Linked DNA regions of Arabidopsis thaliana. The protein of the gene in region 1 interacts with the protein of each later gene in a pairwise test. Each region holds a gene or a part of one and is shown on either strand. Other genes may lie near its edges. The genes, in order: NAC089 and PYL4.

What was found.
Region 2: the proteins of NAC089 (region 1) and PYL4 interact in binary tests that used the Arabidopsis thaliana proteins (3 or more experiments, as listed by UniProt).

Annotation. Positions count from the first base shown.
Region 1 is NC_003076.8:7,371,276-7,383,484, forward strand, and holds NAC089 (NAC domain containing protein 89), read right to left. Parts: upstream 6,502-12,209; 5' UTR 6,224-6,501; coding exon 6,022-6,223; exon of another isoform or gene 5,842-6,021; coding exon 5,588-5,841; intron 5,422-5,587; coding exon 5,191-5,421; intron 5,105-5,190; coding exon 4,769-5,104; 3' UTR 4,564-4,768; downstream 1-4,563. Other genes in the region: AT5G22270 (uncharacterized protein), read right to left, coding at 1,212-1,493; AT5G22280 (peptidyl-prolyl cis-trans isomerase G), read right to left, coding at 2,997-3,251, 3,682-3,837; NIT4 (nitrilase 4), read left to right, coding at 8,126-8,288, 8,370-8,549, 9,580-9,873, 9,973-10,254, 10,341-10,489. UniProt on the Arabidopsis thaliana protein: Transcription factor involved in plant cell division.
Region 2 is NC_003071.7:16,042,714-16,054,758, forward strand, and holds PYL4 (PYR1-like 4), read left to right. Parts: upstream 1-7,204; 5' UTR 7,205-7,537; coding exon 7,538-8,161; 3' UTR 8,162-8,643; downstream 8,644-12,045. Other genes in the region: AT2G38300 (myb-like HTH transcriptional regulator family protein), read right to left, coding at 1,462-2,023, 2,145-2,256, 2,344-2,380, 2,504-2,580, 2,732-2,966. UniProt on the Arabidopsis thaliana protein: Receptor for abscisic acid (ABA) required for ABA-mediated responses such as stomatal closure and germination inhibition. Inhibits the activity of group-A protein phosphatases type 2C (PP2Cs) when activated by ABA. Can be activated by both (-)-ABA and (+)-ABA.

The DNA.
Region 1 (12,209 bases):
AATTAATGATATGCCTTGTTAAATCCCGATGCTAACAATTGCAATATTTGAGTTTGAATCAATATTAAGCATATCTAACTAAAATGTTGACCTACTATCACTTGTTTAGTGTTTAAAGTTTAAACTTTGACAGCCACTAATAGTATAAGTAGGTATATACGTACGTAGACTGAATAATTGTTGATAATTTTGTATCATTTTTGTTTCACGATTCTTAGTAACAAGTAACAACGACCAGCGAGGCAGCGATACATTATATTGTTAGTTGAATAGTAGCCAACAAGTGACTTTGATTCGTTTTTATAGTTGTTGGTTGAATGATAGATTTCTTTGATAGGTCTTACGTCAGCGAAAAAATATATATTTGGTTTTGGTTTGTCCAATTGAAATTGCCAGTAGCGGTAAATATAATGATAAAAATGTGAGAAATCTACTTAAAGGATACGTGTTGTTTCTTTTGATAGTTGGGGAAAGGAACAAAACACACGTAATGTTGAATCCGACATTAATGTAAAACCAACATGCATTTTTTTTATAGTAAGTTTAGGTGAAGATTTTTCACATTTATAATAAGCATAACTCTTTTTCATGTTTTTATAAACATTTAATTTGTTAGTTCAACAACTTTGGTAACAAGTAAACCAAACCTATTTATTGTTTGACGTATGATGTGTATATATTTATGTATATACTTCGCATTTAACGCTAGAATTACATAGTGCAAAAAAAGGAAAAGAAAAAAAAGTCATTGTTCCACATTTTTCATATTAAAAACATAATTAATTGTGCCATGTACATATACATTGAACTTATAACAAGTCAACAACGACCATTTTCCATTTATAAAATTAAATATCGCAATAGTCCGAATACGTAACCTTTTGATGAGGACACAATGACACATCCATCATTTATACTAGCTATTAATCCAAGTTTAAATTTTTGTAATCACCCGTTGCAAAGAATCAATATTAATATTGCTTAGTTTTCTACAAGAATTATCCATCGTTAAGCAGTCAATATTACAAATGAAGTTAAGGATGTTTTAAAAACATAAGTATATAGGTTTCGATTTTATGAACATATCCGTTCATTGTGGATTAATTCAAACTATCAATAAATGTGGCAACAAATTAAGGAAAAGAAAAAAGAAAGAAAAATAAAAGAACATCCTTAATTTAATATTATGTATTTTTTTTTTATTTTTTTTTTTAACTAGTGCTCTTCTTGCTATGGTTTCCTGTGAGAAAATCAAGCAAAACATGGCTGTTGCATCTAGGGCATCTAGGGTCATTCTCTAAAGAAGTGATGATGTACATGATGCAATTAGGGCAGCCAACGACCACCATTGATTTAGCCTCTCCTCCTCCACCCTCAGCTTCCTCCGAGCATAACGATGACGATGAACTCTCAGTGAGCAAAGATGAATCCAACGACGGTGAAATATTTAGTTTCAGATCAAGTCCAAGGTTACTCGCAGCTTCTTGATTCATGTTCCTTGCCTTCCAAGAAGAGTATACTATGTGTGTTGATATATTATTCTACAAGAATCAGAATAAGAAACACAGTAAAACAAAACTTTAGATGGAGATCCATGGTTTATAAAACATGTATATATATAAAAAGAATTGATCAATTGAATACTTATTTTTCTATCGATCAATCAAAAAGTGAAGATGACAATAACAAAATTTCAACATATGAGAACAAAAAAAATTCGATGAGAACAAATTAACTTGGTTCTCGGGTTCCAAAGTAGCTTTACCTTGGTGAAGACTAGTAGTAGTTTAGTTCTTGTTCTTGAGATTTAAAGAGAGATAGTTTGATGTCTGCATGTTAGTGGCTGTTATATATATATAGATAGAGGAGAAGATACACGCAAGATGAGAGAGGGTCTCATTGAATGTATATTAATGAATTAGTAGGATTAGTTTCATCTAGCTTTCAAAATAAATATTCTTGTAGAAAATAATTATAATATGAGGTGTTTGTAAGCAATAAATGTAATTTGAAAATAATAGTATGCAAAAGATTGAGTATATGACTTGTGCTTTGAAATTGCATTTATTACCAAATAGTATTTGGATAATTACAAAGGAGATATTTTTGTCCATTTTCATAAATCATCATATTATTAGTATGAAAATCGAAATTCAAATTGAGAGGGAAGAAGTAGACAATGCATTTGTTTCAAACTTGGAAGGTTGTAATGTAGTTAAAATCGGTGTTGACAAAAACAAATTGTAGTTTAATGGGTAGTTGATATTATTAGATTTCTAAAGTCGTATATGATGATACTTTTTTTAATAAACCGAAAATTATTGTTGAAAAATTGATAAGTATTGGTGAATATGAATTTGGATAGCTTGACGGCTAGACGCACGGCCAACAAATGATAGAAAGATTGACCAAAAACAGATGAATGGCTTTTGACTGTTAATATTATTGACTTTTAGAATGCCAAATAGTAAAATGGAAGAATAATAAATGAGTATGTGAAAATTCATGGGAGATTTGGTTTTGTTTGACTTAGAACAAATATGGAGTTGTGGTTGGTGTCTAATAAGAGATTTATTTAGGCTCTGACTAGTGATGAAATCATGGAAAGAATATGACATAAGATTGCTTTTGTCATCTTAGACTTTCGTTAGCCTCATCAGTCAAAGTAAAAATCTAACTACACACAACCAAAGTTTGACTATACCAAGACATCGACAATGATAGAATCAATCAACCATAACTAAAGATATTACAAGTACCCTAATTCTCAACTTTTATTACAAGTACTTAAATATCTCAATCTTACACGTGAATAAAGTAAATCATCCTTCTAATCAAAACATCAGCAAGGTTTTTAACACAACAAAAGTAAATTACAACAGTTTTTACGTACCATTTGGGTTATTTATTAGAATTGATGTAACCGGAGGAAATACTAGTCTTCCACGATGTGTTTCCTCTCGAGCTCAATGAACTGTTTGTTATTATGGGAGGTTTCAGTGGCGTTTCGTGTCTCGTTCTCTCCTTTGCATCGCTGTAACTGCATTTGAAGACTTCGTACAAGGTCGTTTAGCCTCTGGATATGTCTCTCTTGTGACAAGATGATCTGTAACGATTAACAAACTAAGAATTGACAGGTCTTCTTCTATTTTCAGGTTCAAAATTATGCTGAAGTTATGAGGTTCGTCATACATCCAATGGAACTTTAAGGTTGCAAGACCAATAAGTCTATGTTTCTCCACTAACCTCATCTATTTGATGCAATCAGGGAAAACACAACAGAAGGCAAAAAAACCCCGAATATTTCTATGCAACATTAAAAACTCAGATCAGTCATTGATGGATTCCATAGACATTCTCAAAAAGAAGAAGATAGAGATATGAAAGCCAGTTACAAAGAATGTTTGTCCAGAGACTCATGAGACTAGAATGTCGAGGATAAAGTCAACAACACAACTACTAAGGCATAGTTATAGATTGACTCAAAAGGCAAGTGAAGCAGATATAGGAATCTTAAGCATCAGAGCATTCTAAGTTAACTGACACTATCCAATTATGCATATCTCTGCTACAGTTGTACTAATCTATAAGTCACAATCCCAAAACGAATTCTCAGGTCTTTCTCATACAACTGAACACACAAAACTTCAATGAAAAAGAGTTTAAGAATGAAGTAAGTACCTTCTCCTTGACAGCTTCTTCCCTCTTTGCAATTTGCTGATGTTTCTGAGACAAGCTAGGAGCTGCATCAAGCTCAAGAAGTGGTTGCCTCCATTCAAACTGAGAAGTGACTATAAGTATAACCAGAAGAAAGACTAGCATGATCGGCCTCGACATTTTCTATTCAGCTCTTACAAAACCTGTTCCAAATTTCACAATCAATCCATTTCATACCATCCTAAACACACATCCAAAGACCACGCCTAATCGAATTGAGACATATATCGAAAATGAGATCGATGCGACTTAAAATTCACCTACTCACTTCAAATTTTCTAATTAAAAACCAAAAGTAGAACAATGTAAACAGTGTAAGCTGATACTATAAAAAGCAACTCCATCAAATCAATGACCTAGGGTTTCAATACGAATCTCCTTCATATGTAACTAACTTACTAAGGATAAGCAAATAACACATACTACAGAAAAACTGAATTTCCTCAGCACAACAAAGCAAAATTGAAGCATCGTAGAAGATATAACGAAGACGATTAAGTATCTCCAACTTACAGATCGATTTATCACAGTGAAATCAAACTTCATTATCGAATCATCAGCTTTTCTAGGGTTTCTTAAACCGGAAAAATTGACGAAACTGATCGAGATCAATAAAATCGGCTTGACGGAGTATTGAGGAAACTTGACTTCTCCAAAATGGGTTCTCGTATAGAAGAAGAGAGAAAGAAACAAAAGCAGAGGTTTAATGGCGGCGAGAAAATTCTACAAATCTTAGTGCAACAACCATCTGGACGAGAAAGATAAACAGTACGGATTTGGAAAATAGTCATTTACTAATTTGCCCCCATCATTTATCCATTCTCTGATTCTCATTAAACACACCACTTAATAAGCCTTGAAGTGTAAAAACTATATCCACTAGTTCTTCTGTGCTTGATATTTCAGGTTTTGATTTGGTTGCACAGATTTGAAGTAGAAGTGTAAAACATAAACCGTTTACACAAAAACATCATATAATCCTTGTCAATGTCCGAGAAAAGATGATACAAACATAGCTAGGACACTGTTTTTCGCTACTTCCATAAGCCTCTTATTCTAGATAAAACAACATTGCTATCAGAGCCACTACACCTATAATAACATCCCATCGTGCCTTGTTCACTGATTTGATCGAGTATAAACCCACGAAGCAGCTCGACAATGATTCCGTGGCGTCTTTTCCTTTCTTCTTCTGTGATGGTCTTTCCTCTAACAGTGATGACATTTGTTTGTCTATCATGTTTGGTAAAGGAAGTACCCTTATCTCCATTGATGCTGATTCTAGTGTTGGCACTTCGTTTGGTGTGTTCCCTGTCATCACCGCTTCATCGAGATTGATGATTTCGTCTCTTAGGATATCCGCAAAGAAATCCTCGTCATTATCCACCTAAACCACACACACATAACATTCATTAAGAAGAACGACAACAATCAAGAACCATCATACAACAATTAGAAGCCAGGTGACAAAACCTGTAGATTTTCTGATGACTCTGCCATCTCAGCGAGTAGTTTCTCCCCTGATTCACCTGCTAGGTAAAAATCAACCAAGTTGTCCCAATCAGACGGGCTCCCTGAACTCGTAGCGCCATTTTGGACTTTCGCATGCTTCTCGGCTGATGAATTTGGCTTTGGTGCCTTCTGACTTGTACCACTATTGTATTCTTTGTTCCTCCTAACCCGGCAAACAACCATAGCATCATCCTAGAATTTACATAAACATAATCAATCAACTCAAGCCAAAGACAAAACTCCTAAAATTTTACTGTATTCCTCTTAGAGACTCAAAAAGTAGCCAAAGTCACCACCTCTTATGTAATGGTTAACAATTAATCTATAAGAAAAAACAAACTCTCGAGAACAGTTTTACCAGAGATACTCCTTTCACGCAGTACTCGTGCATAATCCAGTCAGTTCTTTCGCCTTTTGGTGCACGACCAATATGGAAAACAAGCGTCCTCTTTGTTCCAATGACCTCAGAACCAGACTTCACATCACGCTCTTTCCCAGTTGCTTTCCAGTATCCCATCTTCGTTGCTCTCCTGTTCTGTGAACCATGTGGATACTTTTTCCCACGCGCACAGAAGAAGAACCACTCGCTATCAGATTTCACAATCGACTTATCTGCAAAGAACAAACACACAAAAAAAATTGTCAATTCCAATCCAAGAGCCAAAAAATAGAAACTTTATATCTTAGGCACCCAAAATAGAGATCTCTCCTGAAGCCTGAAGAACAACAAAATCAAATTCCAAGTAGAAGAAAGACACAAAAGAATCAATTGGTTCGAATTCGAAGACAAACCGGGTAAATCCCAAGGCTCGAAATTGTAAATCTCAAGGTCCGGTATAACCTCAACGGACCTCTCCAAGCCATCCATCTTCCGCTTCAGGTAATACGAAATCAACTCCACATCCGTCGGCGAGAATTTAAACCCAGGAAACACCGTCGACGCTTCCATCGACGCCGCCGTATCCTTAGAAACTCCAACCGCCTTCGTGTCCATGAAGGCTCGCGCGTATACAACAGTCGCCACAAAAAGAGCGCGTAAGAAATCGGCCACCGCCCAAAGAGTAAAATCCGGGAATTTTCGATAACCTGAAGGATTTTTCTTCTCAGTGTGGTCTCTTCTCACTTGCTCAGGGAGCTTTTGAATTGTTATTGGAACACTTCACAGGTGCACACATATGGGTTTTTGCATACGTGTTGCCAAGGCATTGCTTAATCTACGTGTGCATGCCACGTCACTAAACCTAGTTATATTATAGGTTTTATTTCATTTAGACCCTTAATGTTTTTACGTACTCCCAATTTACGACTTATTGTTTAGTGTTTTCAGATAAAGTCCCAATATATATCCGAAATCTTACTATCGATCAATCGCTCACAATTATATATCCCAAAATATCTTGTTCAGGATCTCGTAATCAACAAGCGTTACCTCAAAGTTTTTGTTGATTTGAAGCTTAAGGGTTAACCACTTATCATTACAAGAAAACTTATCCTTCTTGATGGATTTCAACTGCTCCACAAGACTTTCCATATAGTTAAGTTTAATCAAAAACTCATGTTCAAAAAAGCTAAACAAGAAAGGTGAATTTTCGCAAATCTCCCTCCGTAAAACCTCGTACGTCTTCGAAATAGTATTAGTAGTAAAATCTGTGGACTATGTTTCTGTGTCAAGGTACGACAGGGAAAACGAAATGTATGAGTGAACTTTATTGTTGTTTCCATGATGAAATGGGGTTACAAATTACGATCAAATTATACTCAAATCATTATTTGTAAAAAAACTAAAGTGATATTAACGTGGTTAACTCTGTTCTGTTAATTTTTTTGGTGATGTGAATCCAAAAATTACTTTGAAAGTTTCTCGTACAATTAAAAGTTTAAAGTTGATGATGAACGGAAACTATAAACAATCATAACAAGAAATTCTCCAAATTATTTCAGCAACAAATTTATATTTTGTCAAGATCAACAATGATCGATAACGATAATATGATTTAAGAGTTTTTTCATACCAAAACTCTTTAGAATTAAAAATCCTCCTTTCATAGGCCTTTGAACTAAAAAATAGAACTCTTCAACAATATTTTAGTCAAAAGCTAATGATACGTGAAAGAGTTCGATACCTTTTATAACACCATCCAAGGATATAGATCAAGTCTAAAACTAAGAAAAGAGATAAACATCTAATCTTCTAATCCTCATACCTTCGAAAAGTAAACAATAATTAATATTGAATGCTAACAAGTAACAACCAAAATATATAAACAAACGCTTTGTTTGGTTTTTAAGGTTGGTTTGTTATCGAGGGGGTATTTTATCTTTTGAATTTTGTAAAAAATCTATAAATATAGGTGATGATTTTAGAAAAAAATGAGGATTTTTTTACACATTTTGGCATTTCCCCCTACAGTTAAAAAGAGAGTAAAAATCAAAATATATATCATGTGTTGTACAAGTAAACACCTACCAACCAAGCCCATCAAGAAGATACTACTACTAGAATCACTCATTTCCTCTATATATCTTATTGGTGACAAACTGACCAGTCACCAATAAATGTCTCTAGTCACGGCGGCTCCTCCGGTCAACATCGATCAAATCTTTCCCGTGGTTGACGTATACACTTGCGATTCTTCCTCCATCGTACAATATGCATGCATATAAATACCAATATAGGTGATGGTTATTGTAAATGTTTTTAGAGAAAATGAGGATTTTTTAAACCCATTTTTCCCTTCACTAAAAAAGAATCGACACACAAAAAGAGAGAGTTTATAAAATACACGATAATATCAAAGTTAAACACACACCAACCAAGTAAACAAGATACAACACAATTGGAATCTTTCTTCTTTGACAAAAAAAAAAGGAATCTCTCTCTTTCTCTGATTCTCTCATGTCCATGCAACAAGAAACGTCTCACATGACGGCGGCTCCACAGACCAACGGCCATCAAATCTTCCCTGAGATTGACATGTCCGCCGGCGATTCCTCCTCCATCGTACGAGCTACAGTCGTCCAAGCCTCTACAGTCTTCTACGATACTCCCGCCACGCTAGGTTCGTTCCTGTTTTCTCGATTTTTGATTCACTATGGTTGGTGAGATCGCTTTCGATGCCTTATCCACGAAATTTTGTCAGATAAGGCAGAGAGACTGCTTTCTGAGGCAGCGGAGAATGGATCTCAGCTAGTGGTGTTCCCGGAGGCTTTCATCGGTGGATATCCACGTGGCTCTACCTTTGAATTGGCTATTGGTTCTCGTACCGCTAAAGGACGAGATGACTTTCGCAAGTACCATGCTTCTGCCATTGATGTTCCTGGTAATAAAGTCCTCCACCATATCTCCGATTATGTTCTCACTTTTTTTCTTTCGATTTTGGATCTTAGCATGAATACCAGGGCACGCACTTATTACCACATAAATCCATTGTTCTCTAACTAGCTACCAACATAGAACAACTAGGCAACCCTCTTTTATATTCACTTAGGTCGCGTGTTCGATTCACGTTCACTGCACCATTTGATAAGTTTGAAGCTATGAACTCTTATCTTTTATCACTTCTCATTCCAAGATACAAACTCAAGAACTACCCTAACAATGGAGATTTTTTCAAGAGATCTCCTAACTCTCCTCCATAAAACCATACGTTTGTTAAAAACACATCAATACATGCATAACTTCATCAATTCTCTTGACAAGAGGTTACAAAATCTGTTTCTTCTTGCTCTGTTTTAACTCCTTTTCACATGACTTCTATGCTTCTCTTTGCTTATTCACGTGTCTCATAACCTCCTTTTCAGCTACCACACGTATCTCCTAGCTTATCACACTTAAGATCTAATAAATTCTCACCAAAGCCGTCTTTAAAACAGCTTCTGTTCTACTACGACACTGTAACAGAAACTGCAACAAACAACCAAGGTGGTTCTTGTTTTTTTTTGGTATCAAGGTGGTTCTTGTTGCTTTGAGGGAGATGCCTCTTCCTTCTTACATGAGAGCTTGTAGCATCACCAAGATCTGACCAGTTCATCAAGAGACGTAGCTTGGTTGCTCCACCCGTGACTCCACAACAAGCTTCATTCAAGGGAGGCACAGATGCTCCAAGAGTAAGAAGTTGTAGATAAGATCATTTCAGCAACAGTCACATGGGCTTAACTTATGAAAGGCCCAGTGACTTGGGCTTTCACATGGGTCAATCTCATAGCCAATAAACCCAACAATTGTTAGTGTGATCATCTACTAACAATTGAGTGTTTCAGTCTCTACTAGTTATAGTGTTTCTTGAATCACCAAGTGTGTGTAAACTGTAAATTACATTCTACTTATTCATCTGTGCCATCTTGTGTTAGGCCCTGAAGTGGAACGATTAGCGTTAATGGCCAAGAAGTACAAAGTATACTTGGTTATGGGTGTGATAGAGAGGGAAGGCTACACGCTATACTGCACCGTTCTTTTCTTCGATTCACAAGGTCTGTTCTTAGGTAAGCACCGCAAACTCATGCCTACAGCTCTTGAACGTTGCATTTGGGGATTTGGAGATGGATCAACCATCCCTGTGTTCGATACTCCTATTGGGAAAATCGGTGCTGCTATTTGTTGGGAAAATAGGATGCCTTCTTTGAGAACCGCAATGTATGCCAAAGGTTAGTCTCTCTTTAGCTTCTACAAAGGGACAATGTATCAGTATGTTGCTTGTGATTTGATCATGTTGGTGTGTTACACTGTTGTGTTTTTTTTTGTAGGCATTGAGATTTATTGTGCACCTACTGCTGATTCAAGAGAAACTTGGCTAGCATCAATGACTCATATTGCACTTGAGGGTGGATGTTTTGTTTTGTCAGCTAACCAGTTTTGTCGTCGGAAAGACTATCCTTCTCCGCCGGAATACATGTTTTCCGGTTCAGAAGAGAGCCTAACACCGGACTCTGTTGTCTGCGCTGGTGGAAGCTCTATCATTTCACCTTTGGGAATTGTTTTAGCTGGACCAAACTATAGAGGAGAAGCTCTTATCACAGCTGATCTAGGTATATTATTAATTAACATTTGTTAATCATCATCATTCATTCTTGAACAAAAAGTTAACTAATCATATCCTATAAATCTCTAACAGATCTTGGGGACATAGCACGAGCCAAGTTTGATTTTGATGTGGTCGGACATTACTCGAGGCCTGAAGTGTTTAGCTTGAACATAAGGGAGCATCCGAGAAAAGCGGTCAGCTTCAAGACGTCAAAGGTAATGGAAGATGAATCCGTCTAACAAATGATCATTTGTTAGACCCAAACTTTCTCTGTAATTTGATGAAGTTTATCTGTAGTAAACTTCAAGACTTGTGTTGTAATTGAAATCGATAAAAAATCTAAACCGTTAGATTGAGTGTTGTCTTCTATTCCTCGTTTATACTATGCTTGGTTCTGCTCGTTCCATGTTCTTCAAATTTGTACATGAAACTAGTGATTCAATAACTTGTTAGGGATTAAGATGAGTCATTTTTACGAAAAAGATGAAAGAAAAACAAACCCAAATGGCCAAAACAAATAAGCTACCAATTCTCTCTACTCTTCCGCAACACAACACTCTCTATGGGTTTGGGCCTTGTTTCCTTATTTATTTCCCTGTCTCTTGGAATGGGCTTAGGCTTTTCTGTTTGTATCCACCCTGTGAAAACCTAAAACATTCATATAAATTGTTTTTTTTTGGTTTGGCATAGAGGATAAGCAACACATTCGTACCGAAACAAACCGAAATATGGAATTTTAAAAACTCTGTTTTATAGGTTTAAAAATTATGTAATCAAGTTCTGGGATAAAAATACGAAGTATATTAATATATAGGAAAACTCATATTTTTAACATTCAAAGTGTTATTTGGTAACACCAAAATCGAAACGAAAAGTCTGCCCATGTTTGAGACGATCTGTCCACTGACAGTTGATTTGCTAGTTGCTATATTAGTAACATCAATGTCTTCAAAATAGTGATTTTGTAGGTAGGTTCATTGTATATATCAATGTTTATTATACAGACAAAGGAGGAGACAAAGAGATAAACCACACACGAACTTGATAAGATCATCACTCTGACAAAATATCTCCCTATAATGCGAATGTTTTTAGCATTTGACCTTTCTCATTCAATGAGAGAAAATTAGTTAGCCTAGTGGCACTATATTATGCTTCAACTTTAGTAGTTTTATTTTGTTATACGAGTTAATGATTTATCCCTAAACTATGTAAAAGTATGAAACAAAAAAAGAAAGACAAACTTTTGGAACCCAAAACCCCTTGATTTGGTTTAATGGTACATATATATATGGTTCTAAGCTAAAATATTATATTGAGTGGGGGACATAGAGTAAGGCTGATTGGTATATGCATATATCTTTCACACGAATTGACCTATTACCTAATCATGTGTATATATGATCGAAAAATGAAGATCCGTTATTGTTCGTTATTGTTCATGTCATCTTATTAATTTTTGTAACTTTTTTGGTTGAATTGTTACCAAATATTCCCAAATAGGGTAAAACGTAACGGATATATAGTTGAGACAAAATCACATGGGAAGATGGAACGATGCTGTCCAAATGTCTAGACAATAATAGAGAAAATGTCTTGTTTCGTTTTTGATTCAAAATCTTAAACTAATCCTTTCTTGAATCAATTATATATCTCATTATTGTTCGTTCTTATTCTCATTGTTGTACTAATCATTATGATTTAATTTACACCAAATCAACGTTTCCATGTGTATATCTTCAATGCCACCAATAAATAAGTTCTTTAATAGTTATATACAATGTACAATTCACCTCCAATTCATTCCAAGCATGATTTGTTTGGTTTCCCCTTATTCTCTACATCTACATTATGGTCTAATTAGAGTTAGTTACAAACATAAAAACTCGTACGTAATGAATTGTTGTTCTCTAAAATAAGCACTTAAGTTCCGTAATAGACTTCAAATTCTGACAAATC
Region 2 (12,045 bases), on another chromosome or scaffold:
CTTATAAGGAAATCGATCCGTGTATTGCGAAGACTAATTTGGCAAAAAGATTACCTACTTCAACTGAAGATATTTAGTCTTAAAAATCATTAAAAGTAAATAAAGAGGGACATTAGAGGTACATATAAAGGGATACAACATTAAACGTTATGTTTACACCCCTTTTTAACCACTAGGATACTTTCACTTCATGCATCTTATTTTTAGCCCCAAAAAACACTTATATAGTTTCAGAAATTAGTTTAGATTCTGAGGTGGATAAGTTAATTCTCCAGTAGCAAAATAAAACTGATCGTGCGGCCATGTTTGATAATGAAGTCTGAAGAAGTTGACCAGGTACACACACGCATCGAATGTTTAAGAAGCAAAGATTCCATTTGTTTGTCTAAATATCGAAACAGTATCAGTGTATCCAATCAAACTAACGGAGATCCTAAGTTTCTTGTTTTTTCTTTTTGGAAAATCAAAATTGATACTTGGTCGAACGTAGTATTTGGCACGTCGAATCAAAATTATACAACAGTCTCAACTCTCAACGTTACTATTAACGACGTCATTATCGTATTGACGTATAGGTGCCACCATATTATACAATAAATTATTAGAGATTCAATAAGATTCATGTTCTTAGAATCGACTGATTGAACGAAAATTTTACCGGGAAAATTTTACACAGTTGAAATAAGTTCCCTATCAAATACTATTAAACATTAATTTTTGGTTTGCAACTAATCACATCCTTATACAATAAACATTTCACGAGATAAAATTTTATATAGAATAATGAACTCAAAAGATTTGATGATTTGTGAACTTTTTCTATGTTTTTTTTTGTATTATGATCTTTAACCTCTTTAATATTTACAAAGAACGAGGTGTGTCTTGTTGTTTAAGTATTAATCTTGTTCACATATAGTAAAAACCTCAAAAATAATTGGCTTCGGATTTGCATAGTGTAAAATTGTTTCACTATGTCTCTGAAAAGGGAAAAATGAGTGAAGATGGATTTTGGAAATTATTGAAAACACTACTATTAACTATAACATGTTTTGGAACTACAAAATTGTCCATGTACTGTTCGGATAAATACGAAACCAAAATTTTTGTACTATTTACGTAAAAGTCTCATCTACAAATGAATGAAGCTCACCAGCAGAGATACTCTAATCGATGTAAATTTGTTGTTATATGTATATGTAATTTTCATATAGTATATTGCTATGAGAAGACAAAAGATCGAATCATTATGATGTGGCTAGTAATATTTGTTTATATATGTGATGATACAAATTGGCGGTATCAAACAAACTCAAGACCGTTAATATAATCAAACATTTTTGTTTCCTTTCTAATAATAAAGAAAATACATGATTAATGATAAACAACAACGACACTGAATATTAAGATATCGGTAAGTACCTCAAGATCTCACTTAGAATTTGTCTCATTCTTAAATATAATTCATAGAGTCAGATCCAGAGTACTCTCCTGACCAATCTTAACCGTCCGATCCTCTTCATCTTTCATCAGTCGGCTCTTTTTCCACGAAGACGACCCTGGACATAGCGACAAGGACAACGTTTGATCCGTTGTTGTTGCTGCTGTTTCTGTCTCTTCCAAAATTGTCTTCTCCGGTTGTCTTAGCTTAAGAGATAGATCAAGATCAATGCTCCTACTTGCGTCTCTTTTGCCATTTGTCTTGCTACAATAAGAATGATTAGTGTTCTCCTCAACACCGTTATGGAACTTTTGAAAAGTTCTTGAGTGTCCTTGAATGCTGTTGAATGTGACTGAATTGGTCCGTTCGTGATGATCGTGTCGTAGTTTCGGAAAGTGATTAGAAATTGAAGAAGAGTAGATGTTTTGGAAAGACTTGTTGTTAGTCCAATAATCACTACCACGGATGTTATTGCTAACCGACGCGTTGCGGATTAAACCGGGCCTAATTTGGTCTATCAAACTCCTTTCTGTTCCTTGAGAGCTAGAGTTCCACAAAGAAGCATTTGAAATTTTACTTCCATATCTACCAAAAACAAAAGAAGACAATTAATTTAGTTTCCGAATAAATATAATTAAAACGGAATATCATTCAAATTAAGGAACACATAAAATCTAAAATTTTCAAAAAAAAAAGTTATATCAACCTGAATGGAGAATCATGGTTATGATTATAGCCTCGGAACATCGGTAGCTGACTTAGTTTATAAATATTTCGATCTGTGGAAGTCTCGAAGAGATGTTTGTGACCAGCTATAGCTGCCAACAATTCAAACCCCACTTTATTGGCCTATACATGTATAACTTGATAACTAACTAATGAACACAAATAGAAAGAATCAATACCTTGACCTTGATCATCTATCTTCTTGCTTCTGTACATCTAAAATTTTCCAATACACAATTTAGTGATTTCTTTTTTTTTCTAATTTCAGAGATTATTTGAAACGAAATCGAAAATACAACACATATATAGGTACGTTTTAGATGTATGTAGATCAAATACCTGTAGATGGCTCTTGACATGAGCAATACTAAGCCCTTTGATGTTCATCATCTGACGAACCAACTTTGGAGTTGCTCCTATACATAACCAAACATACACATTAAAAAAAAGAAAATCACATGAGGTTTTGACCAAATAGTTAACCTAAGAATAACTAAGAAATTGCTTATGCTTTTATATATATGTGGAGGAGGTGATGAAAGATGAAGTTAGTAGCTATGGACGTACTTTCTTGACCTCCAAGCCTCTCAACGGCGCGGACAAAGCGAAGATGAAGATCAGGAGTCCACCGGAGTCGAGGGACTTTAGATCTCACATAAGGCCTAACCTTAGTCTTCTTGTCGCTCTCTTCCACTGTACTATTGCTTGAAACCTTACTCTCTTCACCTTCTTCTTCTTCTTCCTCTTCCTCCTCCTCTTCTTCTCTGTTAGTCTTCCCGCCTCCCTCCATACTTGGAATCATTATTACTTCTGATGTTACAAATTCAGAAGAAATATAGAAAGAAAGTGGTAAACGATAGAGAAGTTCTAGGCTTAGCTAGATATAGGTTTTGGACGATATGGATAGATCAATCCTTTGGTTTGATATGAAAGAGATAAAAGACCAGATGAATTCTGCTTAGTTCAAAGCATGGAGATTTTGTCTGTGAACCCTAGATCAAGATACACTTCTGATTCTCTCTCTCTCTCTTCCCGGAACATGTAGACAAACCCTCACCTAAATCTTGTTGCATATGTTAAAAAGTTTTCTTTTCTGTTCACAGCTAATTGATTTCGGCCCTTTTCTACTATAGACAGCTCTATATATAAATAGTTGTATATTTTAATATGTGGATGCATATTAATATCAACCATGGAGGGAGAAAACTATTACTCCTATAAATGAGATAAATTGTTGTTTATACCCTTAACATGCCAACAAATTACAAGTAACACTTATTCTATATTATTGTTCACCAAAGGCTAAGATGAGTGTGATAGAAATTAGGCTCTATATATAGCATATTCTTAGTAGTCTTAGATTGCCTTAGTTCGTCAAACAAACATTTCGATTACAAAGATCGATATAGATAAAATTCATGTATCGGGACTAACAGTCTATGAATGAATTAGTTAGTATAAGTAAGACTATTTACAACAACAACAAAAAAAAAAAAAAAAAAAAAATTAATAATTATAAGAAAATAAGAAAGATATTAGTATAGTTGAGACGTTATTTGAGTTTAGAAGAAAACAAAAAAATGAAGAATTTTAAATTTTTTGATACCGTGATGCAGTTTCCAGGAAAAATAATTAAATACAAAATCGAATTCACAAAATTATAATATACCTCAGAGTAGTTTTGTCGGAATTAGGATCATTGATGATCGAGATCATTGTCTTTTTCTTAAGACATTTGGTTTAAAATTAATGTTAACTAAACTTTCTTTTCCTTCTGTTTTTCTTTTTGTTGCAAAATAATTTTTGATCCTCAACGATTTAAAAGATCCAGTACGTGACATGAATCAATTTATACAAAATATTAATTTATCGAAGTGAACTATACTTGATGGATTTTAAATCCTCTCATTTCTATTGATATAGCGATCAAATTAGTTAGAAAATTTATTTTTAAAATCAACCTTCTAATCTTCTGAGTACTTTTTAGTATTTAGAAAGTGATAAATCACAATACTAACTAATATATTGATTAATGGGTAGATTCATATATATTTATCTTTAAAACTTTTTGATGAGATTATGAGGTTTAGGGTTTTGCGTGGAATTGAATGCTAAAGGCAAAAAATGGAAGAGCGAGAGTGGTAGATAGACGAATAAATTACGATTACAAGGCGTGTGACTGCTCAGCTGTCTTTGATGTAGACCACATCATCACACATACCTCTTTCTTTCTTTCTTTTTCTGTTTTTTGTTCGACGAGAATCACGGGACAATGCTCCTCTCTTACCCCAAAATTATATATTATCTTTATATGTATTTTTGTAGATTCGTATGAGAGAATTAGTTTATGTGTAAAGTGGTCCTTGCTTGGTTTACGTTACACATCCGACCCCGTGAAGCGATGAATAGCGTTGTTAGTTGAGCCGTTTTTTTACATCGTTCGTTCCAAAAATATGTAATATTAACATACATAGTTATAAAATTTGACACCGTATAAATCGAAGTCCTATATGGTTTAATTTTAATTGCAAAGAAAGTCTTTTTAGACGAGTTTATGGTGATTTTTGTAATTACGATTTTAGTCATCGTAAGCCATTGAATACTACCTCTTCCGCATATTTCGACAATTAGTTTGAATATTTACCTTTACCACTTCTATTATGAAAACAATAAGATAAATACATTCTCACGTATATATGCTTATGATATAATATATTTTAGATCCAATTATGCTTTCGAAGTCCTCTTGGAATTCCAAGAAATATGAGCACTCACAAGATCAGTTCTATTAACATGTCTAACAAATTGTACTGTTTTATTTCTACGTAAATTTCAATCATAAGTTTTTGGTGCATCACGAAAACAATATACAATACTGTTTTCCAGTTGTATATATCTACTATAGATTCGGGTACATGCCATCCAATAAAACTTCGTTGCAGAATTAAATGGAGATTATGAGTTCATGAGATTAAACTATAGGCTTAAGTTCATATTTTCCAGTTAGTAAATAAAATTCTGCTAGCCAAACAAAAAAAGTTGTTCCCTACCAAAAAAAACAAAAAAAGTTGTTGAGGAGAGGAAATTGTAAGCTTTGATGAAGTAGAAAAAAGAAGAACTTTGTCATTCCCCCCACGTGTAAAGAGACTTGCCATCGATCCTTCACAAGCTTCTCGTCACCACTCCTTTCTTCTTTACACTTAATTTCCATCTTCCTTCTGCTTCTACACGTCCACATGCAATTTTGCACCGAGAATCCTAATTTGTGTCCTTCATTTTAAAGGTTTAAAAAGCATGTTTATAAAAACATGGAACTGGATGGTTTGTGAGATATGCCATCAAATTAGACAAAAGGGTCCATTAAGCCTGTGAAAAAAAAAGAAAAAAAAAACTAAGAGACGATCATAAGAGTTAGGTGTGACCTGACAAGATTCTTGTACACCCGAACCCGACTTGTGAACTGTGAAGTCAACCTCTAATTAACAGTTATTTTTTATTCCTACAAATACGGATCCAACATTATTCTCAATTAGTTGAAGTAATGTCTGTCTATTTGCACATTTTCAAACCCATAATCAAACAAAAGTTACATATCCTGACCCGCTGACCATATTATACACTCATCTGTGTATATCTCAAATCTCACTTGCAGGTAATTCTCTCTAGTACTTTTATGTAGATATATAGATATTAGTAGAATGTTAGCAAGAAAAGATGTAAAACATATATATCAACTATATTAGAACCCGTCCTTTGTGCGAGTTTTTGATTTTTATGATAATTTTAAGTTAACAAAAACTGAATTAATTTTGCTTTATATATTAAGATGTGTGTGAAGCTCAATACACAATATTAATCTATTCTTATCAAAAAAATTTATATTCAAAATTTACAGCAATTATAAAGAACTAATAGCATTGTATTATGACTTATCATTAAGATGGGGTTTGTGTCCATGTCCGGAGTTGTTAAAGGTTTGAAAACCCAGAGTTATGAATGTAAAGAAACAAGACAGAATGCTTGAAAACAGAGCATCAAGTAAATGTTTTGTGTTTATATTATTATGCAGCTAAAATGGAACCGGTGACGGCATTCCAACTTGGCCAATGGATGTCTAGACTCGCTATATTCTTCAAGGCAGACGACACATTCTTCCCCAACCTCGAAATTGAATTCCTCGACGGCAACAAAAATATATCTTCGAACGTTTTGTTGTGTCTGATCAGCCAACTCCACATCTTTAGGTAAACTCTAATATCCTAGAGAATAATAGAAATCTATAATACTAGTTACAATGTAGAAGAAGAGACAACCTATAACGAAGCTAGATACTATAGCCAACGTAACCAAACCAAACAACAAAAGTATGTTGTGATAGACCAGTTTTTCTTTCCAAAATACGGCCCAATTAAAAGTTTGGTTCTAAAAACAATTTGGGCCTTAGTTTGTATAGTTTAAAATGTGTTTCTTAGTGAGGATTGGTTTTTCATGCCCTTTTGTTTGTGTGCTCCTTTTTTTGTATATTGAAGATCATATCAAAGCAAAAGCAATACAATACTTTTCATTCAAAAAGTTCCTCCTTCTGCTTGTTCATCAAATCTCTCAGGTAATTAAATATATGGTTGTACCACTTTTAGTTTTGTGGTATTCGGCTCTGATGTTGAATACTTCAAATATCTAGATTTGCATCTGATGCAATTGAAAACCTTTTTTTTTTTTGCAATTGAAAACTCATATATATAGTATGGCTAGATATATGCAATTGAAAACTCATATATCTAGCCATACTATGAAATAACAATTGAAGAACTTCTAAGTTGAAAGAATTCTCACTTTGTATGTTTTGATGAATTTGATCTTACATTCCAATCGTTCCAAATATCGAAACTCTTAAAGCGTATTCAATCAAACGAATCTCGTCCTAGATATACCTTGGTCATTTCAAGAAGAAGAGAAAAAAGTTATGGTCAAGAAACTAAAAGTCTAAACCCATATTATAATTCTAGTGTTGATATACGAGAATTATATATTGGTCACTTGCCCAATTAAAAATATCGTGTATAGAAAACAGTCAAGTCAACAACTATAGCAAGGGGCAAAACCGTAATTTCACAACAAGCAACTTGCTCGGTTTTTTCGTTATCACCACTCACATGAACTCTGCATTAAAAACTCTATCTCTCTCAAATCGAAAGGCACAGCCCAACTTTTCGCAAGTCGCTGTAAAGTTTGATTTGCTTCTTTTTATATACACACATACTTCTCCTCCATACACTTTCCTCTTCAATCCTCAGTTTTTTTTCTAAGCCCTAATACCATCTCAAAGAAGAGATCAAGATTTGAAATCAAGAAGACACCATTACTCAGATCAACATGCTTGCCGTTCACCGTCCTTCTTCCGCCGTATCAGACGGAGATTCCGTTCAGATTCCGATGATGATCGCGTCGTTTCAAAAACGTTTTCCTTCTCTCTCACGCGACTCCACGGCCGCTCGTTTTCACACACACGAGGTTGGTCCTAATCAGTGTTGCTCCGCCGTTATTCAAGAGATCTCCGCTCCAATCTCCACCGTTTGGTCCGTCGTACGCCGCTTTGATAACCCACAAGCTTACAAACACTTTCTCAAAAGCTGTAGCGTCATCGGCGGAGACGGCGATAACGTTGGTAGCCTCCGTCAAGTCCACGTCGTCTCTGGTCTCCCCGCCGCTAGCTCCACCGAGAGACTCGATATCCTCGACGACGAACGCCACGTCATCAGCTTCAGCGTTGTTGGTGGTGACCACCGGCTCTCTAACTACCGATCCGTAACGACCCTTCACCCTTCTCCGATCTCCGGGACCGTCGTTGTCGAGTCTTACGTCGTTGATGTTCCTCCAGGCAACACAAAGGAAGAGACTTGTGACTTCGTTGACGTTATCGTACGATGCAATCTTCAATCTCTTGCGAAAATAGCCGAGAATACTGCGGCTGAGAGCAAGAAGAAGATGTCTCTGTGATGAGTCTTTGTCGTTGTCGGGTAGTTTCGTTAGATCCGACGTCGTTTTCTAGATTTTTAGCCGTCGTGTGATCTATGTTTTTTCGGCTTATGTGTGAAAAAAAAGTTACATTAGTGAATTAATCTCTCATGCATATCATAATCCTTCTTTTAATTTTTGTATTTTACATATCCCATAAAGAACCGATTTGGATAGCCCTATTCCGGCTTTCACCACCCAAAGATAATAATATTCAAACTGAAAGAATGTGGTTGTGTTGTCCGCTAATTAAAAGTGTGATTTTCAAGTTTAATTAATCTTGTTTTTCTATAGTTTCATCAGAAAAAGCGTAAATGAAATGGTACAATATGATGTTCGACTCGGATGTATATTAACTCGTTACATTGAGTTGTTGGCCATCTAATGTGTGTAGATAAATTTACGTACGTATAAACAGCTTTTGTGAAATTCGACGATTTTTCTTAAAGGCAACTTTAAATTTGGGCATAATATAATGTGTTCCTTTCCTCTATGATTTAACTAGGTCCTCAAACTTTTTACTTTCTTATTATTTCATAATAATTAAAATAACCGATTGAGCGTGAAGTTGTTATTTAAAAATCAAACATTTGATAGAGAATTCAAGATTTGAAGTTTTTATTTGTCATCATAAACTATTTGGTAGAAAATAGGGAGTAGTTGGGGATTTTCAGGCTTAAAGGTAATTGCGTAAAATGGACAAAACATACATGTATACAAAAATATGAACATGGCCGTCAAAATATAAAAAATAAAAAACGAACATGTTGATGAATTTAAAGAAATAAAAATTTGCAAGTGGACGATGCTTTGAATGATAACCCAACAAGCCAAGCTGTTCTCTTCTTCTTTTTTTTTCCCGCTTGATATAAAGAAAATGCAAGTTGCAATTTTTTTTATCTTTTACTTCCTTTCTTTATGGTTCTTCCCAATCCAAAAGATATAATATTAAATTTCGTATAATAATAAAGAAATATGGAATAGAGAGAAGCGCAAGTTGCATGTCCTTTTACATCACGAGAGTCACGATATGTTTCGTTTCCAAGTGATCTCTTAGAATATAATTATATAAATGTGTTTTTTTCAATATATTCGAGAGGTTTCTACACTTCTATCCACAAAAAGATATGTGATTGATCGACAAAACATGAATCGTATGAAATGAAAGATTTCATTTTCCTTAGATCTAAAACCTTCTACTTCTATGTTTGCAATATCATTATCGAGGTTCACCACTATGGTTACGTAACCATCATCACTACAAAATTTTCAGTCGATAATAGGAATAGCATAAAAATACACAAAATGTTATAACTTTCAATTACTAATTTTTGTGGTCGTCAAATATCGACAAATATAGCATAGCTTTACTAATCATAACTTCATAAGATACATACTTAATGTGGCCACGAAAGGTGTAAAAACAAAAAAAAGGGATGGGAAAGAGTTGGCGGTGCAAGTGGAAGTGGGGTAGCTGCGATTTTTTTGCAAGTTGGGCAAAACATATTAATTGTGATTTACAAATTGATGAATTTTCTTATTTCTCAAAACATAAAAATGAAAGTATATGTGCCTTTGCGATCCATCACGCCACTGTTTCCTATAATTTGATTGGACCTCTGCCCAAATTTCCGATCGTTGGAGAAAAGGAAAATAAAAATAAAAATCGAATATAAGTGTATATGAATATAATTCACAAGTTGCCACATATTAGTATATCGCTTCTTGTTATATAAAGAGGCTTCATGTGATGCTTCTAGACCGAACCACCTACATCGGCGTATGGCCATAATTGTAGTTGGGGTCGGGTTAAGGTAATTTATCATTTGTACTAATTCATAATTCTTTTTATTTTCTGTTATAAATATCATCTGGAAGGTCCAAGGCCATAAGTATTGACGAATTGTTTAAGAATCTTTCCAATAGCCTTTTTAATACATGGCTTTTTTGTATCATGGAGTTGAGTCATCCGTGTTATAGGACTTTTAAAATACCGATTGCAGCATGTTTTCGATGTGAAAAATCTGCATTGGTGTATTTGTTGATTTGTTATAACGCGTAAAGCATGCAATGTATGCTTTTAGATGGTAAGTTAACTTGTAAAAATATCGATCTGCTAATGTTAAGTTGTGTACAAGAAATACTATCCACAAAAGCGTATAGAGACAATCGTACCTAACCTAACACAATGTAACAAAATTTGAAATTAGTTTTGTAACTTAAAATAAACCCCCCAAAAGAAAGGTTTAAAACTTCTTTTTATGGGCCTATAGCATCCGCCTGTATGCCCAACTGGACCCGGTCATTTCTAAGAATCGCAATCCCAACCTACGTGTAATAACTAATAGTATGAATAGTATGAATTTCACGCATGCACGACGCATTTTTATTTTCTTTTACGCCACACACGACACATTAATAAGGTTTAGACAACTTTTTTTGATTCGTGAATGCCTTCTTTGAGAAAGATTGTGTTAACTATGTGTATATCGTTCCAAGGTTATTAGATGTAGTCCAAAATAGATCACATAAGTTATGTATTTGTTTAAGGTTTGCGCACCAATGATATTGTTGCATATCGAACCAGTTGGTGAGCCGGAATGGAACTTAATTCTCATCAACTCCACTATGGTTATATAAAAGAAATTGCATATGTAACTATATGTAAATTAATGGGTGAGATTGTGAGACTCTTAGTGAATTGAGAGAATTTTAGAGAGAGAACAAAATTGTGTTAGAGAAACATATCAACCAAAAAGACATTTGAACCAAAAATACAAGTGACTGGTTTCCATATGTGATAGTCTCCAGTATATGCATCTAAATCAATTATGAACCAAATTCATCATTAAAATGGGCAAAAATGTGTTTGGTCGCGGGAAGACCCGTCTGTCATCCCTATTCTAAACTTTCAATACAATTCGTTAAAAAAAACTTAATTCTAACTAATTCAGAGTAAGATAGTTGAAAACTATACAACAAAAAATATAAGAAAATGATGAATTTCTACAATTAACAAACTAAAACATAAACTATCAAATAGAAATAGATGTATCATGTCATAGAATGAGATAAATGGTTCACTATTTGATTATTGATTTTTTTTTTTTTAACACGACTATTTGGTTATTGATTATGTCAAAAACATTAAAATAATAATTTTATAAAATAATACGATATATAATGTTTTATTAGTTTTATCTATCCCCCTACTATAACAAAAACTTATAGAAATATATAAACATATAGAAGAAGAAAAAAAGACAGAACATATAGAAACAAGAAATAAAATTATACTTTCAAAAACTACGAAGCAAGGAAAATCGAATTTTGAGGTAACTTGAAGGCAACGAATAGTATGAATGTGGAAACGTCAACAACTTAACCTTACGTTTACATATTATATTATTTGACCATCTCTAACCATATTTGGATTATGAAAATCCAAAAGGGCGCTCGCAAATACCATAGTGACCCCCTGTGGCCACACCTTTCTCAGATGTCTATTATGCTTTATGAAGAATGCCAAGGGGGTTTCTCGGTAACACCAAATTAATCGATAGTCGCCTTCACTTGCAAACCAAGAAAGATACGAAACTACACCGAGAAAGTACAATCTTATTTAAATAACCAAAACAAACAACTTAGTTTTGTCTGACCCACTAGGCCACTACTTCTATTCGACAACTTTAAAGTTGACGATACATATACAATTCCTGACTCAACTGAGAACGACAATGTACAATCACACAACGCTGGTCGAACTTAGGAGCCAATAAAACACTTGAGTCGTGACATGAAACACACGGCTACAATACAAACTTCTCTCAATTATTTTTTGTAAAGACCGATTATTTGCTAAGCAA